Lonchura striata: one gene and its partner. The protein of the gene in region 1 interacts with the protein of each later gene in a biochemical or structural test. Links are inferred from orthologs where the notes say so. Each region holds a gene or a part of one and is shown in the gene's direction. Other genes may lie near its edges.

Region 1 (6,956 bases):
GCAACGAGTATTCAGCTGGCTGAGTATTCAGCCATGAAAAGTCCAATATGCTCAGGATGACGTCTCTGTTCCTTTGTCATGGTAGTCTGCTGCTCAACCTGGACCTAAAGTCTGAGAGCCTTGATTACCTTCTCAATTAGATTTCCTATTGCTGGTCAGGGATAGGCAAGGGATGCAAATGGGTTGGTGCTTTTGCTGCCTGACAGCTTGATGATTATAGTGTCATATGTGGGGGTTGTTAAAGAAAAATCTCTACTCTGATCTTCCTGCAGAGTAAAATTCAACAATACAAGGTACTTCTGGGCTGCAAATGAACACTGAAAACAAATGTTCTCTACTGTGAAGGCTGTTTCTCCTCTCTCTTTTTCAGCTTCTGTAGTGCTGGAGATTGAGCAGATGATCAGTCTTGCAAAATGTTTGCCTGATATATTTCAGAGGGCTTACTCTCAGCTGCTAAATTTGGCTGATTTCCTTCCTAGTATTTAGTAATAGTATTTTTAACAAATGTTAGAAAAATGAAAATTCCCACATTTCAGAGCTGAAGGGAACATAGCAACTGTTATGTATCCATTATTCATAGAAACATAAAATCATAGAATATTCCGAGTTGGAAGGGACCCACAAGAATCATCAAGTCTAACTCCTGGCCCTGCACAGGATATCCCAAGAATCACACCATATGCCTGTGAACATTGTCCAAACACTTGAACTTTGACAGGCTTGGTGTGGTGGGGAAGCTGTTTCAGTGCTCTGTCACACTCTGGGTGAATAATCTTTTCCTAATATGCAACCTAAACCTCCCCTGGCACAGCTTTGTGGTGTTCCCGTGGGGCCTACTATTGGTCACCAGCAAGAAGATAAAAGCTCCTGCCCCTCCTCTTCACCTTGTAAGGAAGCTGTAGACCACTATGAAGTCCTCCCCCCCTCTCCCCTTCTCTAGGCTGTACAAACAAGCCACTTGAGCTCCTCCTCTTAAGTCTTGCTCTTGAGGACATTTACAATCTTGGTCCCATTCCCTTGGACATACGGTAATAGTTTGATGTCCTTCTTATATTGTGTCACCCAAAACTGCCCACAGCACTTGAGGTGAGGCCCACCAGTGCAGATCAGAGTGGGACAATCCCCTCCCTTGGTTGGCTGGTGATGCTGTGCCTGACACCCTCCCAGGGTGTTTGACCTCCTGGCTACCAGGACTCACTGGTACGAGTCACTAATGTGAGTCACACTGCAGACTTATATTCAGCTTGCCACTGACACTTTCTATGGTGCTGCTCTCCAGCAGAACCTGACAGACCTGCAGTTATCAAGGTCATCCTTCTTGCCCTCCTTGAAGCCTAGGATATTAGCCAGCTTCCAGCTGAGTGGGATGTCTCCAGATTCATGCTCATGCTCCCCAGGGGGCTCCTGGCTCTGTCCTATGTTGAGTCAGCCTCTCTTGTGCAAGCTGCCGATTCCATGTAAGCCTCTCTTGGGTTTCCCCTCATTCTAGAAACTCGCCCTGTTCTCCATGATCCCCTACTCTGCTGTGAGATGTGCTTGTACCAGAGCTGTTTGCCTCAGTAAGTAATGGTTGAATGCCAATGATAAATTTGGCCTCACATATGCCACCCACTACTTAGAATCTAACTAAGGCCTAAGATTCTGGTATGAAGAGATCATATTGCCTGCAGTATAGACTTATGCCTGGGACAGACCTATGGCTGTCTCAGCGTTTGTCCAGCCACAGCATCTAAACTACTCTTCAAAGGTAGTTTGCATCCTACTGGGTGTTGCAAATTGCATGGTAGTAGTTCACACACACACACACACATACACACAAACACACACACACACACACACACACACACACAGGCACACACACAAAAAAAATAGGCAAGTACATTCCATGCGGCCCTCCCCTTCACATATGCATTTTCCATCTGTCCAGATGTTCCAATTTATGTGTTTAGACTGTTCAGTTCCAAGCACAAGTTTCCTACTATACCTTCCTTCTGCTTTATGGGAATATCTGCTTCTTCTTTCTTCCTTGTATCTCTCTGCTTGGATCTTTCCATTCTACAAGCTCCACATCTCATCTCTCCCTGACCTTAACATATAAAAGAGTGAAAAGAGATTAGGAGCAGATCTTCAGGTTTGGCCTCCCTGGTCACTTGAGTGGATCACGAGCTGATGACATCTGTTGGAGAAGGAAGAAGCTATAGCTTGCCAAAGAAATGTGGTCTTTGGAGGGCCATGACTGAATGCAGCTGTGATGTAGGAGGTGTGAAGAAGATGGGGAGGAACTGGTGTGGAATGGCTGCTGAGCTTGTGATTAGGTTCACATCATCTCAGACTCAGCACTAGGCTGGCCAAAGGCAGGCACAAACTGTTCCCTGAGGTCCTTCTACAGGGGAGCCCTTGCTCCTAGGGGGTCTAACCTGTCAGGATGCTCAGTGTCCTAGTTCTTGTTGGCCTGTCCTCCCTGGCTGACTGTTTTCCCAGCTGCTATCCTCTCCAGTGGAGGAGGTGACTTTGTGTGAGTCATTCTCTTCGGGAAAGAAACCTCTGGGTTCTTCCCCCCATGGTGTGAGCAGCTGAGGGGAAGGTATCCATAGCTATTTTATTTTCAAGGTCTCAGCTGGGGGCAGGAAGATTGGAAAATACAGACTAAAATTTGTAGCTTAGGGCGTAATTTATGAATAGGAGTTGAACAGACGCGTGCAGGAAATATTCTCACAGACTTTAAACTTTAAAGTTAAACACTTCTCAAGTTAAAAACAACATCAACTTCTTTTTTTTTTTTTCTTGTACAGGATGGTCTGGTGGGACATGGGAGGTCTGAGTTCTATTTATGTCTTCTGTCACCAGCTTCCTATGACCTTGGACTAGCTGCCTAACCTCTCTATGCGCCTCCGTTTCCTTCTCTGTAAGAAGGGGATGACCACATTTACCTGCCCCAACATATTCTTGTGACTTATTTCATAGTATAAAAATATAGAAAGGGCCACAGTGGGTCAAACTGAAGATCTGGCTCATGCAACAGCGTTTCTTCTGGCTCAACAGGGGAAAAGTGGAAACACGGGCCTTGAACTTTGCGGTCATGGGCTCTCTGCTGATCTTTCACAAAATAAAACATGTATGGGAAACGTGGTATGTGCATGGGTGAGAGGAGAAATATATTTCCAGCGCTGCCCTGGATGTTATAGACTCAGTGAAGGACAGCAGGGGAGCTGGCAGGGCAGACTTCCTAAGCATCCTTAGCCAGTGCTGCCCCTTCCTGGCTTCCCTGCTCTGAGCGCTCTCAGTGCTGCTGGCTGGGGACCCGTGGTGGTCTGGGTCAGGCCCCGCACAGAGCGATCTGCCCCACGGCTCCTTCTCCCCAAGGAAGGTGGGGAATGGAGTCTCGGGCGCCTGGGGCACGGGCAGCGCTTTGGGCACTCCGAGCATCGCGCCGGGCAGCCGGGGAGGGGCTGTAAATGGCCCCCGCCCGACCTGGCACCGGGCTCGGCAGCCGGTGGCGGGACGTGGCGCTGTCGAAGTTTTCCTGCGGAGCGGGAGAGGGTCTCCGCAACACCGGGACCCCGCCGCTCAGCATTTCATCCAGGAATCCCAAGCCGCTTCACACCCTGCCTAGAGGAGCCCGGCAACGTGCGAGCGACGAGTCCCGCTGCCCGCCCCAGCAGCGCGGCGGCCGCGGCGGCTGGAAGCAGCCCAGAGCCGGGCTCCGGAGGGACGGCACGGCCCGGCTCCCTGGGGGCCGGGGGTGTCCGGGACTGGGAGACCCGCGGGGCAGCGACACCGTGCCCGCCGACGGGCGGGCGGGCGAGCGGGCGGGGGACGCGTCCCGGCGAGGGCGTGCTCCCGGCGGAGGATGTGGGCGGGGGGGCGGAGGGGTGCGCGGCGAGGGGTGGAGAAGTTATAAATCAGCGATGCTGGGGCTGGCGGGTATCTGATGCCCGCGGGAGGTGAAGCTGGCAGGGCGGCCCGCAGCGGATACTCCGTTTCCGCAGGTCGGGCCGGGCCGGGGCGGGCGGGCAGGACTCGGGGGCTGCTGGATGCCGATTCCGCGCCTCGCTTTGCCGCTATCTCCTCCACCGCGGGAAGCGCCCGGGACCGAGGAGAGCCCGTCGGATCCCAGCCGGCGCCTCTGCCCCTGCCTCGCTGCCGTCGGCAGGGAAAAAGCCCTGCGTTCCCGCAGGCAGGACCATGCCCCGCCAGCTGCTCTCAGGGACCGTGCTGCTGGGAGCCGCCCTCCTGCTCGCAGGTAAGGCACCGCTGGTACGCGGTCAGACCCCGCTCTGCGCCGAGATCTCCGCGACGGGCCCCCAGTGATGAGCCTCGTCGGCTGCGCCTCCCGCGCCCCTGACCGGTCCCGCCACACCCCGCTTGTCGGCTGGAGCCGGCGGGCACCTGCCTCTCCTTCGCCATTCTCCTCTGAGCAGGGCCGGGGAAGTGATCCCTGCTTTCCAGGGAGCGGAGAAGCGCCGCATTCCCGAGCTGTCGTTATGCTCCGGATCCCCATCGGCGTGCCCGGGGAGCAGCTCCCCGGACGGTCCGGCGGTGCGGAGCCGTGGTGCTTCTCCCGCAAGGCAGTGGTGGCGTGGAGGCCAGCCTCTCCCGGGCACAGGGCACCGCCGTACATCATTGGGAGTTGTCCGAACCAGTGCATCACGGAACGAGAACATGTCTTGGTTCCAGGGCACGCTTCTTTTCTCCGCATTTTGTTTTCAAGTGTCCCCGTTCTGCCCGTGAAGCGGCAAAGCTGTACCTTTTCTTCGCAAAAATCGAGGTCCTGCTGCCTCCCGCCTGAGCAGGTCGGCGGAGCACCGGTGGCGCTCCGTGCGGGGCTGGCTGCCGGGTCTTACTGGAGAGTGGGGTGGAGCTGCTCTCCGGTGCCTGCATCCCGCATTGATGGGGATGGATCATTGCAGATTTGATATTCTTAACTGAGTTTTATTTTACTTTGAGCCAAGAGCCAGTCTCCGTGGGCCGGAGCGCCGCGGTGGGCAGTGCGCCCCAGCGTTATGTGGCTGGTCACCTGAGAGCAGGGGTGTGCGTGGTGGCCGGGCAAAGGCCGGTCCCGTGTGGGCTCGTGGCTCGGCAGGGCCGGTGACCTGCGGGGATGCCCCGCGGAGAGAGGCGATGGGCGCTCCCGCAGCCTGTCCGCGCACGGGCTCCGCGTGTCCCGCCCGGGCAGCGCGCACGGCCGCGGCCGCTCCCGCGGGGACGGCGCTCGGCAGAAAGGGGCCGGCGGGGAGCAAGCACAAACCCCGGCTGGGGAAGCCAAAAGCCGGGCTCCCCGCGGGACAGCCGTCAAGGCCAGCGTTCCTGCGGTCCGCGGCCACGCGGTCCCTCGCGAGTGGCCGGGGCTCGGTGTGCTCCGCGCCGCTGAGCCCACGGGAGCCGTCCCGCTGCCTGAGGCTGCCCGGGAGGAGAGCTGGAGGGGCCGCTCCGACAAGACGTTTTCCTGCTCGGGAAGTGCTGATTCATCAGCTTTGATACAGATATATAGGTGTTCTACATTCTCTTTCCTTTTTCTTTTCCCCAGGAAAGTGCTAATTTCCCCACATTATTTGTCTCTGCCTAGGAGGTTCTCATGCCCAAGATGAAATAGGCACAGGCATGGGACACCCACCCTGGATACAGGAAATGTGGATTGAGATCCTTGCCAGGCTTCCTTCACAGCTTGAGTCCGAACTTCGGCGTCCTGCTCCTGCATGGGCTCCTGCAGTGACCAGCTCTGCTAGGGGACTGGCTTCCTCCTTCCTGTCAGAAAGGTTTTCCATTGTGCAGATCATGGCAAGCCCACTGCCCAGGGACAGGGTGGACTCTCTGCGCCAGGGGTGGTGAGAGAGACACTGCTTCACCTTCCTGTTCATGTGTACCCTAGACCAATCCCAGTGGGAAAAGCTTGGCTTGCTTAGGGGACAGCCAGGGGCTCTGGGTACTGGGGACAAACATCCCAATGGCTGGCTCAGGTGCTGTAGGTGTTGGAAAGTTTATTCTCTAGTTTGTCTGGGTGCCCTTACAACCATTCTCCTGGAAGTTCATATCTGCCCCATGTACAAGAGATTGTGCTCAAATCAGAATTTAAATGTTTTCAGACTCATTGGTTTTCTTGGGTTTTTTTGTTTGCTTTCTAGAAAAGCATTCTCGCTCAGCTTTGTTTGGACATCTCAAATAGGTTGATCATGCTTCTTCTGGACCACTGGCAGAACTCTCCATAGTTGCATTTGCATGGATAGTTTGAAAGTTATTGTTGAAGTGGGGGAATGTTTTGTACCATACATCTCTGTACTTTTCCTCCTATTTCACCCTCCTTCACTGCTTATTTACCTACATTTCTTACTCAGGCTGCCCAGCACTTTCCATTTCCAGTGCTCTTGATGCAATTCAATTAATCACTGGTCCCCTCTTGTAATTCAATCTCTGCAGGTGCCTGCTGAGCTTCAATTTACTGACAGGTTCTAGGGGAGACTCTCAGAAATAGTCAGTGGTTCAGAAAGAACCTAAATATACCTCCACAAGGAGGAGACAGAAGGAGGTCTTTCAGCTCATATAAATCTACTTAATAATTTAAAATTACCCAAAGCAACATGCAGCCTACAAGCTTTGAGAGTACCCATTTGAAAAATGAGATTAAGGAAATTAAATGCATTTGACATGTGAGTGTTGGGCACTTCAGCTCTCTTGTGCACACACATATTTTGTTAACTTGGGAAAGAACAATACTTTTTTTCTCAGTTTTGCATAGAATTCAAATATGTTTTCTTTATATCTTATAATTATTTATTCCACAAATTGTATTGCATATGCTTGCTAATGATTATACACATAACAGTCAACATGAATATGCGGTTGTTGTATTCAGTTCAATCTCCCAGTCCTCAACTTTATTGCCATAATTATAATTATTACTATAGTATTGCTATCATTTTAATCACTAGCATTTGGGATTGTGAAGGACTGTGTTTAAA
Region 2 (7,968 bases), on another chromosome or scaffold:
CTGTCCCACACAATAGCAGAGTCTGCTACTCCCCATCTCCTTGCCTGTTTGCCTTCCAGAGCCAGGCATAGTCTCGCCATCACTATTATTTTGCTTTGTGTCAATATTATGACAGCTAAAAGCAGGAGAACTGCATCCACACGATAAGCAGCCAGAAGCTCTGGGCTGGGTGTGGATCGGGTTCCAGTTTGGCAGGGGAGAAAAGTGCCTGGCAGCCCCTGCCCACCGAGCGGCTGGGCTGGGAAAGCTGGAGAGCAGGGGCAGCAGCAGCAGAGCAGCAGCCGGTTTGTGCCTGTGTGCCTCTTCTCTGTTCAGTGCTCACTGCCCTTTCCCCAGGGTAGATGAAACGTGATAAATGTGCAGAATATGCTTGGTTCTCTGGTGGAAAAGTAACCCGTCTCTTTCCTGAGGAGAGGGCTGCTCTGCTCCTGCAGGGAGAATCTCACCCCTCCCACAGTTTCCATGCCCTGTGCCTCCAGCCTGTGCGGGCCCAGGCTGTTCTGTCTGCCGATGGCAGAAGGTCATGCACACTGCTGCACCAGTCTGTCCTGCTCTCAGCCTTGTTTTTCCCAAGCACAGCACTCTACAGCTGCTGGAGAGAAATTCCTGCAGGCTTTCTGGGACTTGAAGCTGCAGCTCCCACCCAGGGCTTCAGTAGAGGAACTTGGACAGAGCAGGGTGAGCTGTGCTGTGATTACTGTGTCTCTGCTGCCTGCTCTGGTCTCTCAGGTGCTTGGTGTGCATGGGGCTGCTGTTTTGGCATGGTAATTGTGCTTGCTGTCGGGGCTGCTGACAGAATGCTTACCTGTAAGTGCCCACGTATGCTCGGGGCTGTGGTGTGGCTCTCCAGTGCCTCACCCTGCTCCAGGGCTGTGCTTTTCTGCAAACACCCATGGCCTGACCAGTCCCTGCAGCATAGAGCTGCCCAGCCTCTGGCCACTGAGCACTAAGCTGAGTGGTACTAGGTCTGCCAATGTTGATCTACTCCTGGAACGCTGGCTGGATGAGGGCCGCGGCTTCCCAGGGCTTGGGTCTGGCAGTCTCAGGGACATCCTCCTTGGTAGCACCGTCCCTGCCCCCACGAGGGATTAATGTCTGAAAGCAGTATCCAGGCTTGCCAAGGATTCCCCTTGCCTGGGTTCTCTGCCTGGAGTGCTCTCCGGCAGTCCTGGTGCTCATCCCCTGCCCTTCCAAAACTCATGTCTGACCTAGGCCAGCCTGCAGTGCCCGTGGCCCGTGGGGACCAGACCCTGATGTCTCCAGGCATGGGGCTGGACTGTCAGGTGCCTGCAGGTTCGGTTGTGGGTCCCCAGGGAGGCTGAGCTCCCCTCCCCAGGAACCAAAACAAACAGCAGAGTTCCTGCCACGTGCAGCCGGGGCTGACTAAGGCCGGACGCTTCCGCCTGCCGTGAGCAGCAGTGGCCGGGGCTGTGAGCCACCACCATTGGGGTGCACAGCCTGGCCCATTTCCCCCTATTGTCAGCCTCCCCCTCAGCAAACACATCCCCCTGCACACCTGGGCTGGGAGAGGCACTGACGCCACCACAGTGAGCCACCAGGGACAGGGGATGTGCTGCCCAGGGCATCTCAGAGTTGGAGCTGCTGCAGCAGAGCTCTGAGGAGTCCTTCAGGGCCCAGTGCCCAGACAGGTTGTTTGCAAGCTGTTTCCTTGAGGAGCAGCACTAACTGTTCAGGGGTCATTGGTGCAGCTCTGCTTGCCTGCAAGGGCATTGGAGATCCCTGCATTTCTCAGAAGTCAGCAGCAGTCTCCTGAGAGAGAGGCCTGGGTTACCTGTGCCAAGAGGCTGGAGCTGGGGATGCCCCAGCCTGACCATTCCCATCCTCATTCTCACAGTGGAGATACAAACTGCAGGCGACTGACCTGGTTTATCTCACTGCTAGCCTAGCTATGGACTGGCTCTCTGGTAGTGGAGCTTGGGAGACTCTCTAAGAAGAGATCCCAGAAGCAGAGAAAGCAATCAAATGAAACAGTGAGAGGGAAACCTGGGGGCTCTGGGATGACAGGCAGGTGTGAGGAGCCCAGTGACCTACATCCTCATTCTGCTTTGACCTCAGGAGTCCCGTCACAATGCAGGACATAGGAAGCCGCTGGTGGGGTTCTTGCCTACTGGGGTCAAACACAAGAGGGTGGCTGTGCTGGGCACTGGATCATGGATGGACTGGCCCTTCCCTTGGTAGAAGCCTATGGCTTTGGTGAGACTGAGTCCTGTGTCCTAAATAGCAGCAGAACAAAAATAATGCCCTGAGGATTTCAGAGGTGTTCTCTGAGGGCTTCGGGGGTGATGCTGGAGGTCCTGGCTGCAGTCAGTTTAAGAATGATGCAGGGACAAGTTTCGGTTGGGTTCTTTCCATGTGAAATGCCAAAGGTGGGATTTTGCAGGGTATAAGATGCCCGTAAGAGAGCTCTGATGCTGAAATGGGGCTGTTTTATGGAAAAGATTACTTTAGAGCAGCCTTGCCTGCAATGAACAGGGTGGGGTTCTGCAGGGAAGAGCAGCTGCTTGCTTGGGGCTCTTTCAGTGTTATGGGCAGTCAGAGCCCTGCTCTTGCCCCTCACCCTGAAGGTGCAGGAAGCATGGAGGTGACCCTGCTCCCTGTCAGGGCTGTGCCATGGCATGCTTGCAGCTTGATGCCAGGGCTGGCCTTCCCCACTTGATGGCCAGGGCTCACTCACAGCAAGAACACACCATCATTCCCCACCCACCTCCTTCCTCAGCTCTGTGAGCAGGGCAGGGAGGTGGCACAGGCAGGCAGTGGCATATCTGGGGTGATGCTCTCAGGCAGCAGCCACTGCGTGGGGCTCACTTCAGGGGAGGCATTTGCTCTTTAAGGAAATGTCTCTATTTGCCTTATGTCCCTGGCTGGTTCCTTGAGCTTCCTCTGTCCCTTGCTCCCAAAGTGCGTAACTCTGCTCCCCAGAGCCGAGTGGGAGGCGGCGCGAGGGACATGCTGGTGCATTTATAGCACCGACCTCCAGCCCTGTCCTGCAGCTGGGGAAGGGCAGATTTGGCCCCCTGGGGAGGAGCATGGCAGAGGGGAAAGCAAGCAACTGTGACCCCAGCCAGATTGATGTTTCTTCCATATGCAGGAGGATATCGCTGATCACAGGTTACCGGTGTCCAAATATTATTCCTCTTCTCTCTGTGTTCCACACTGCCTAGAAAGTGGATGCTCATCCCAGGAATGTAAACTCTGCCCAAGGCCTCTGAGGAAATAGTTTCAGACCAGGAACAGGACTGCACTCAGCAATTAAGGGCTGGTCTCCCCAGCCACACAGCTCCTGGGGGAGAGCCCTTTGCACTAGTGCCAGAGGCTGGCCTTGTGTCTGAGAGGTGGCCCCGAGGGACCTTCCTGCAAGGACAGGCATGAGGCCCCATGTGGTCACGGTCTTTGCAATAACAGGATTCTGTCTGTCCAGTGAGTTGGCAGCAGCTGCTGCTCAGGGCAGCCTCTGCTCTCGGGTGGGAGGAAATGCTCTCTTCACCCCATCCCACAACCAACCCTGGGGAAGTGGGAACGGGGTCCCCTTGGCCCAGGAGGGTCCATAGGGTAGCCAAGGGAGGCTACAGGCATGCTCCAGTCAACACGTTAAGGATGTTACCTGCTCTTTGCTGCCCAGCCAAGACAAGAAGTATGAACAGACACTGAACGCTGCCACAGCAGCCCCGGCAGCTGCTGAGTTGGTGCAGTGCTGCTGAGTGATGAACTGCAGCACACCCTCCCCGTGGTGGGGCTGGGATTTCTGTGTGCTTATCTCTGCAGGATCTCCATGCTAATTTGCCAGGCCTTGCTCCAGCAGCTTTGTCACACACTCAGTGGTACCAATGCCTAGAAGCTCCTGACTGAGCCCGGCTCCTGCTGGTGCCTAAATCACTGCCACTTGCATGGCCCAGCGGGACTGAGGACAGGCAGCTGGCATGTCCTGCATCCCCTGGGGACAGATGGGAGCAGATCACAGGGCTGGGAACAGATCATTAGCATCCTCATGCTGCAGGGACAGACCTCACACGGTGCTGGGTAGGGAAACCCTGAAGCAGCCTCCCCACTCTCCCAGGAGGACAGAAACGTGAATCCTGGCATGGACACAGAGCTCGTTATTTCCCTAGGACCTGCAGCCCACGGGGGATCGTGTTGCCTGTTGGCATCTCATCACACCTCCCACAGCTCCAGCTTCCCTGGCCTCAGGGGCTTAAAAATAGAACAGAAAAGGCCAACAGAGCTGCTTTGGGTTGGCAGCAGGGTTTGACCTGAGACCTGCTGCGCCCCTTTCCCTTCCGAGCTGTAGACCAGAACCAGGATGCTGTCCCTGAGGCCGGGGGGGGGCTGGAAACCCTTTGGCAGGGGTCCAACGGCAGGAGCTGATGGAACAGGCATAGGGCAGCTTGAGGGGGAAGGGGGTGGGTGGACAGTCACGGGAAGTCTGAGTGGGAACAGGGCATCAGTAGAGGAATGAAGAGGATGGGTGGGAAAGGGGCTGTTGTATGGGGGCAGGAGCCAGCTGGGCACAGAATGGGTAGATGGGCATGGGGCAGTGAAAACAGCAAGCCGAGAAGCCCAACACAGCCCCGGTGGTTCCCGCCGGCCGGGATTCACCGGCACGGGACGGTGAATGAAGCGCCGGGACAGCCCGATGGAGTGATGGCCAGAGGCGGTGCGGGGGCGCTGGAGGAGGCGGCTCTGCCGCGTCCGGGAGCACCGGCCGTCCCCGCGGCCGCCGGGGCCGGGCACCTGCTCCCGCCCCGCGGCGGGGCCGGGGCGGGGCAGCGGCGGGGCGGTGGCGGTGAAATACGGCGGCAGAGCGGGGCGCGCTCCCATGGCCCGGCGGCGGCGGAGGCGGCACGGCGGGGCCGGCGGCCCGGCGTCGGGGCGGTATGCCGGGGGCGGCAGGGCGCTAGTGGCGGAGCCGACTCTGTACCGGGGCGGCGGGAGCGGCGATGCGGCTGCTCGGCGCCTTCCTGCGGTTGCTGGTGGCCGGGACGCTGGGGGCACCGCCCGCCCCGGTGAGAGCCGGGGGGCGGGAGGGGGGTCGGAGCAGGGTGCGGCTCCCCGCTCCTCCCGGCTCTGGGCGGGGGGCGGCGGCGGGTCACCCCGTGCTGCCCCTCCAGAGCTCGCCTTTCTCTCCCTGCAGGCCCCGGAGGAACGGGGGATAGCCAGCACGGAGTCTCCCGGTGAGTTGGTAGCGGGCGGCCGCCGGTGCCCCGGCTGGGAGCGGGCAGCAACCCAGCGAAGGCTTCGCGCAAGGCTGGGGAGCGTTGGGTACTACCGGGGCTGTGTTACCTCTGGAGTCCCGTGGTGACAACCGGGGAGGTAGCCGGGAGCTGTGCCGAGGCTCGGAGCAATGTGATGCCCCCAGCCCTCCTCGGGCACCGGGCACCGCCGCGGGCCGGAGCACAGCCCAGTCCCTGGACTGCCGCCCCTCCGGTGCTGGCATGCGGGGTGCCGGGTGGGAGCGCTCCGCTTCTGCGCTCCCTCCTGGAAAGCCCCAGGGAACGGCTGTCCGGCCGGGAGAGATCCGGGGGAGCCCCTCCGCGGCGGAGCTCGGGGATGAGCAGAGTGCCCGGGCAGGGGATGGAGCTGGCGGAGAGAGGGAGAAAGAGCCTGTTGGGACGGCTGTGTGAGCCCCCGCACAGTGATGTGCACAGTACGGTGACGGACTTACTGCGAGCACAGACGCCCTCGAGGCTGCTGCACCTGCCCCGGCAGCGGCCCGGCTGGGCTCTGCCTCTCCGGACGCCTCCTTATAGTCCCTGTCTCTTGCAGTCCTTACCTTTCGGGAGATCTGGAACCGTAGTTTCTGCCGGCCTCTGGAGCAGCTGGTGGACGTCATTACCGAATTCCCTAACGAGGTGGAGTACATTTTCAGACCCTCCTGCGTCTCCCTGCAGCGCTGTGGAGGCTGTTGTGGGGACGAGGGTCTCCGCTGCGTCCCCGTGGAGACAAGCACGGTCACCATGCAGGTACGTGCTGCTGCTGCGGGGCCGGGCTGCACCGGAGAGGTGCAGGGCTGCTCACCAAGCGCCGGGAAGGTGAACTTGCAGCTTTGCGTCCTCTAGACATTGTAGCAGTGTGGCTAGAGAGGGAGAGGATTTACAAGTGCTCAAATGCATGCCAAGCCAGTAGGGTCCCTCTGCCTGCTCTTTGAGCTTGCCCCTGAGGTCAGGTGTCGCCCCTGGTGGTACTGGCCTTACTCCCTCCTTCCCTGACTTCTCTCTGTGTGGTCTGTCTTGCTCTTGCTGTCATTTTTTCCAGACCTTTCCTGTCCTGTGGTGGGGCTGGGGGGTGTTCCAGTTAGCTGTGGCTGCCTGCTGGGACAAAGTAGGTACTGCCCTCGAATCGAAGGGAGGAGTGAGGCTCTCCTCTATCAGGTGATGCTTGGGGTGGTGCTGACATGAATGCCCCCACACTGCGGCATGGTGAGCATGAAGGGCTGAGCCAACTGCGTTTTCAGTCACCACTGTGTGAGCTGTGAGATGTGGGATGGGAGATCCTGAGCCGTTCAACTCTTCCCCATGTAGCAGGCAGCAGTTGTCCTCACACTGCAGCCCCTGCACAGAGCTGCCAGAGGTCAACCTGCTGATGCTGCAGGAACCAGGCAAATGCTCTACTTTGCCATGGATGATGGACTAGGGAATGCCTGCAATAAATCACCAGTGATTTTGGTCTCTCTGAGGTTGAAAGTGTGTTGGAAGGAAGGATGGCAAAAAGCTCTTGGCTGAGGTGGATCAAAAGCCTGGTGTGAGCAGGAGGAAGCTCCCCAGGCACAGGTCTCCCTCTATGGGAGGGATCCTGCTGCTGTGTACAAAGTGGAAATGTCAGACACTTCTGCAGGAGCTGGTGTGGATCCCACCAATTATGAGTGTACCCTGTAAGGCCCTTGGATGTCCAGCCTGAACTTCAGGCTGGGCTGTGACATGTGACAGAGCGAATCCTGTACCCCTGGACTGGGGAGGCACTGTGGTACTGACTCCAGTCAATTCCAACTCAGTGCTGTAGGAAAGGGGTCCAGGAGGAGGCAGCAGCAATGGAATTGGCCTGAAAAACATGACTGGGGGGATATTTCTGTCAGAGAAGGGAAATGTGCAAAGGGGTCAAATATGTGAAAATTCTCTGGAAAGGCAGAGACTGAAAAATCTTTTCTAAGGCTGGGAAATCCTGAGACCACATGACTTAAATTAAAGCCCTGAAGACATGGGGAAGCGCTAGCAGAGCCGCCACTAGCAGAGCTGCCAGGGCAGCTGGGCCTGGCCAGTACTGCCTACGTGTGGAGGTGGACTCTGTTGTTGGAGGTCCCGAGGAACAGGTTAGACATGCATCTTCCCAAGAGCCTGGGGTGGCAAGGCAGTGGTGCAGGAATCTTTCCAGCCCCCTCCTGCCACTGCCTGAGAAGTAACCTTTGCTCTTCTTTCAGCTCCTGAAGATAAAGCCAAACGGGGAGGCACCCTATGTGGAGATGGCGTTCACCGAGCACAAGCAGTGCGAGTGCAGGTAGGGACTCCTGGGTTCCAGCAAGAGCAAGCCTGCCAGCTCATTCTGTGTGTGGAACAGGGATGCCCTGTGGGCACCCTGGCTGTGCTGGCACCCCCTCTTGCTGTCTTTGCACTAGGGTTTGCTGCTGCTTGTGGCCCTTGTTCAGCTGCAGGCTGCCCCACATCTCTGCACCTGCTCCCCGCAGACGATGGGGTTTGTGCCATTGTGAAGACAGGTCAGGCACCATTCACTGTCTGCAGGGCTGTGCTCCCCATCCCTGCAGCTGCCTTGGCACGCCTGGCATGTGCTCCTTTAGCCAGAGGATCTGCCTGTGAGCAATGGAGCAAGGCTGGTGGCTCTGTGGCAGATAGCACATCCAAGTTGGTGGCTCAGCAAGGAGCTCCATGGCTTGGCATGCCTGAATGTGACTGTGGCCCAAAGAGAAAGCTCAACAGCTGAGTTTTGGGCCACCATTTAAGG

What was found.
Region 2: the proteins of FLT1 (region 1) and PGF are reported together in a solved structure, tested with the Homo sapiens proteins (2 studies listed by BioGRID and IntAct, with this or other methods). The link is inferred for Lonchura striata from reciprocal best matches to the Homo sapiens genes FLT1 and PGF.

The regions. Positions count from the first base shown.
Region 1 is NC_134604.1:68,796,106-68,803,061, forward strand, and holds the start of FLT1 (vascular endothelial growth factor receptor 1), read left to right. Parts: upstream 1-3,941; 5' UTR 3,942-4,185; coding exon 4,186-4,243; intron 4,244-6,956. UniProt on the Homo sapiens protein: Tyrosine-protein kinase that acts as a cell-surface receptor for VEGFA, VEGFB and PGF, and plays an essential role in the development of embryonic vasculature, the regulation of angiogenesis, cell survival, cell migration, macrophage function, chemotaxis, and cancer cell invasion.
Region 2 is NC_134608.1:23,220,483-23,228,450, forward strand, and holds the start of PGF (placenta growth factor), read left to right. Parts: upstream 1-4,955; coding exon 4,956-5,021; intron 5,022-5,149; coding exon 5,150-5,189; intron 5,190-5,781; coding exon 5,782-5,978; intron 5,979-7,429; coding exon 7,430-7,506; intron 7,507-7,968. UniProt on the Homo sapiens protein: Growth factor active in angiogenesis and endothelial cell growth, stimulating their proliferation and migration. It binds to the receptor FLT1/VEGFR-1. Isoform PlGF-2 binds NRP1/neuropilin-1 and NRP2/neuropilin-2 in a heparin-dependent manner.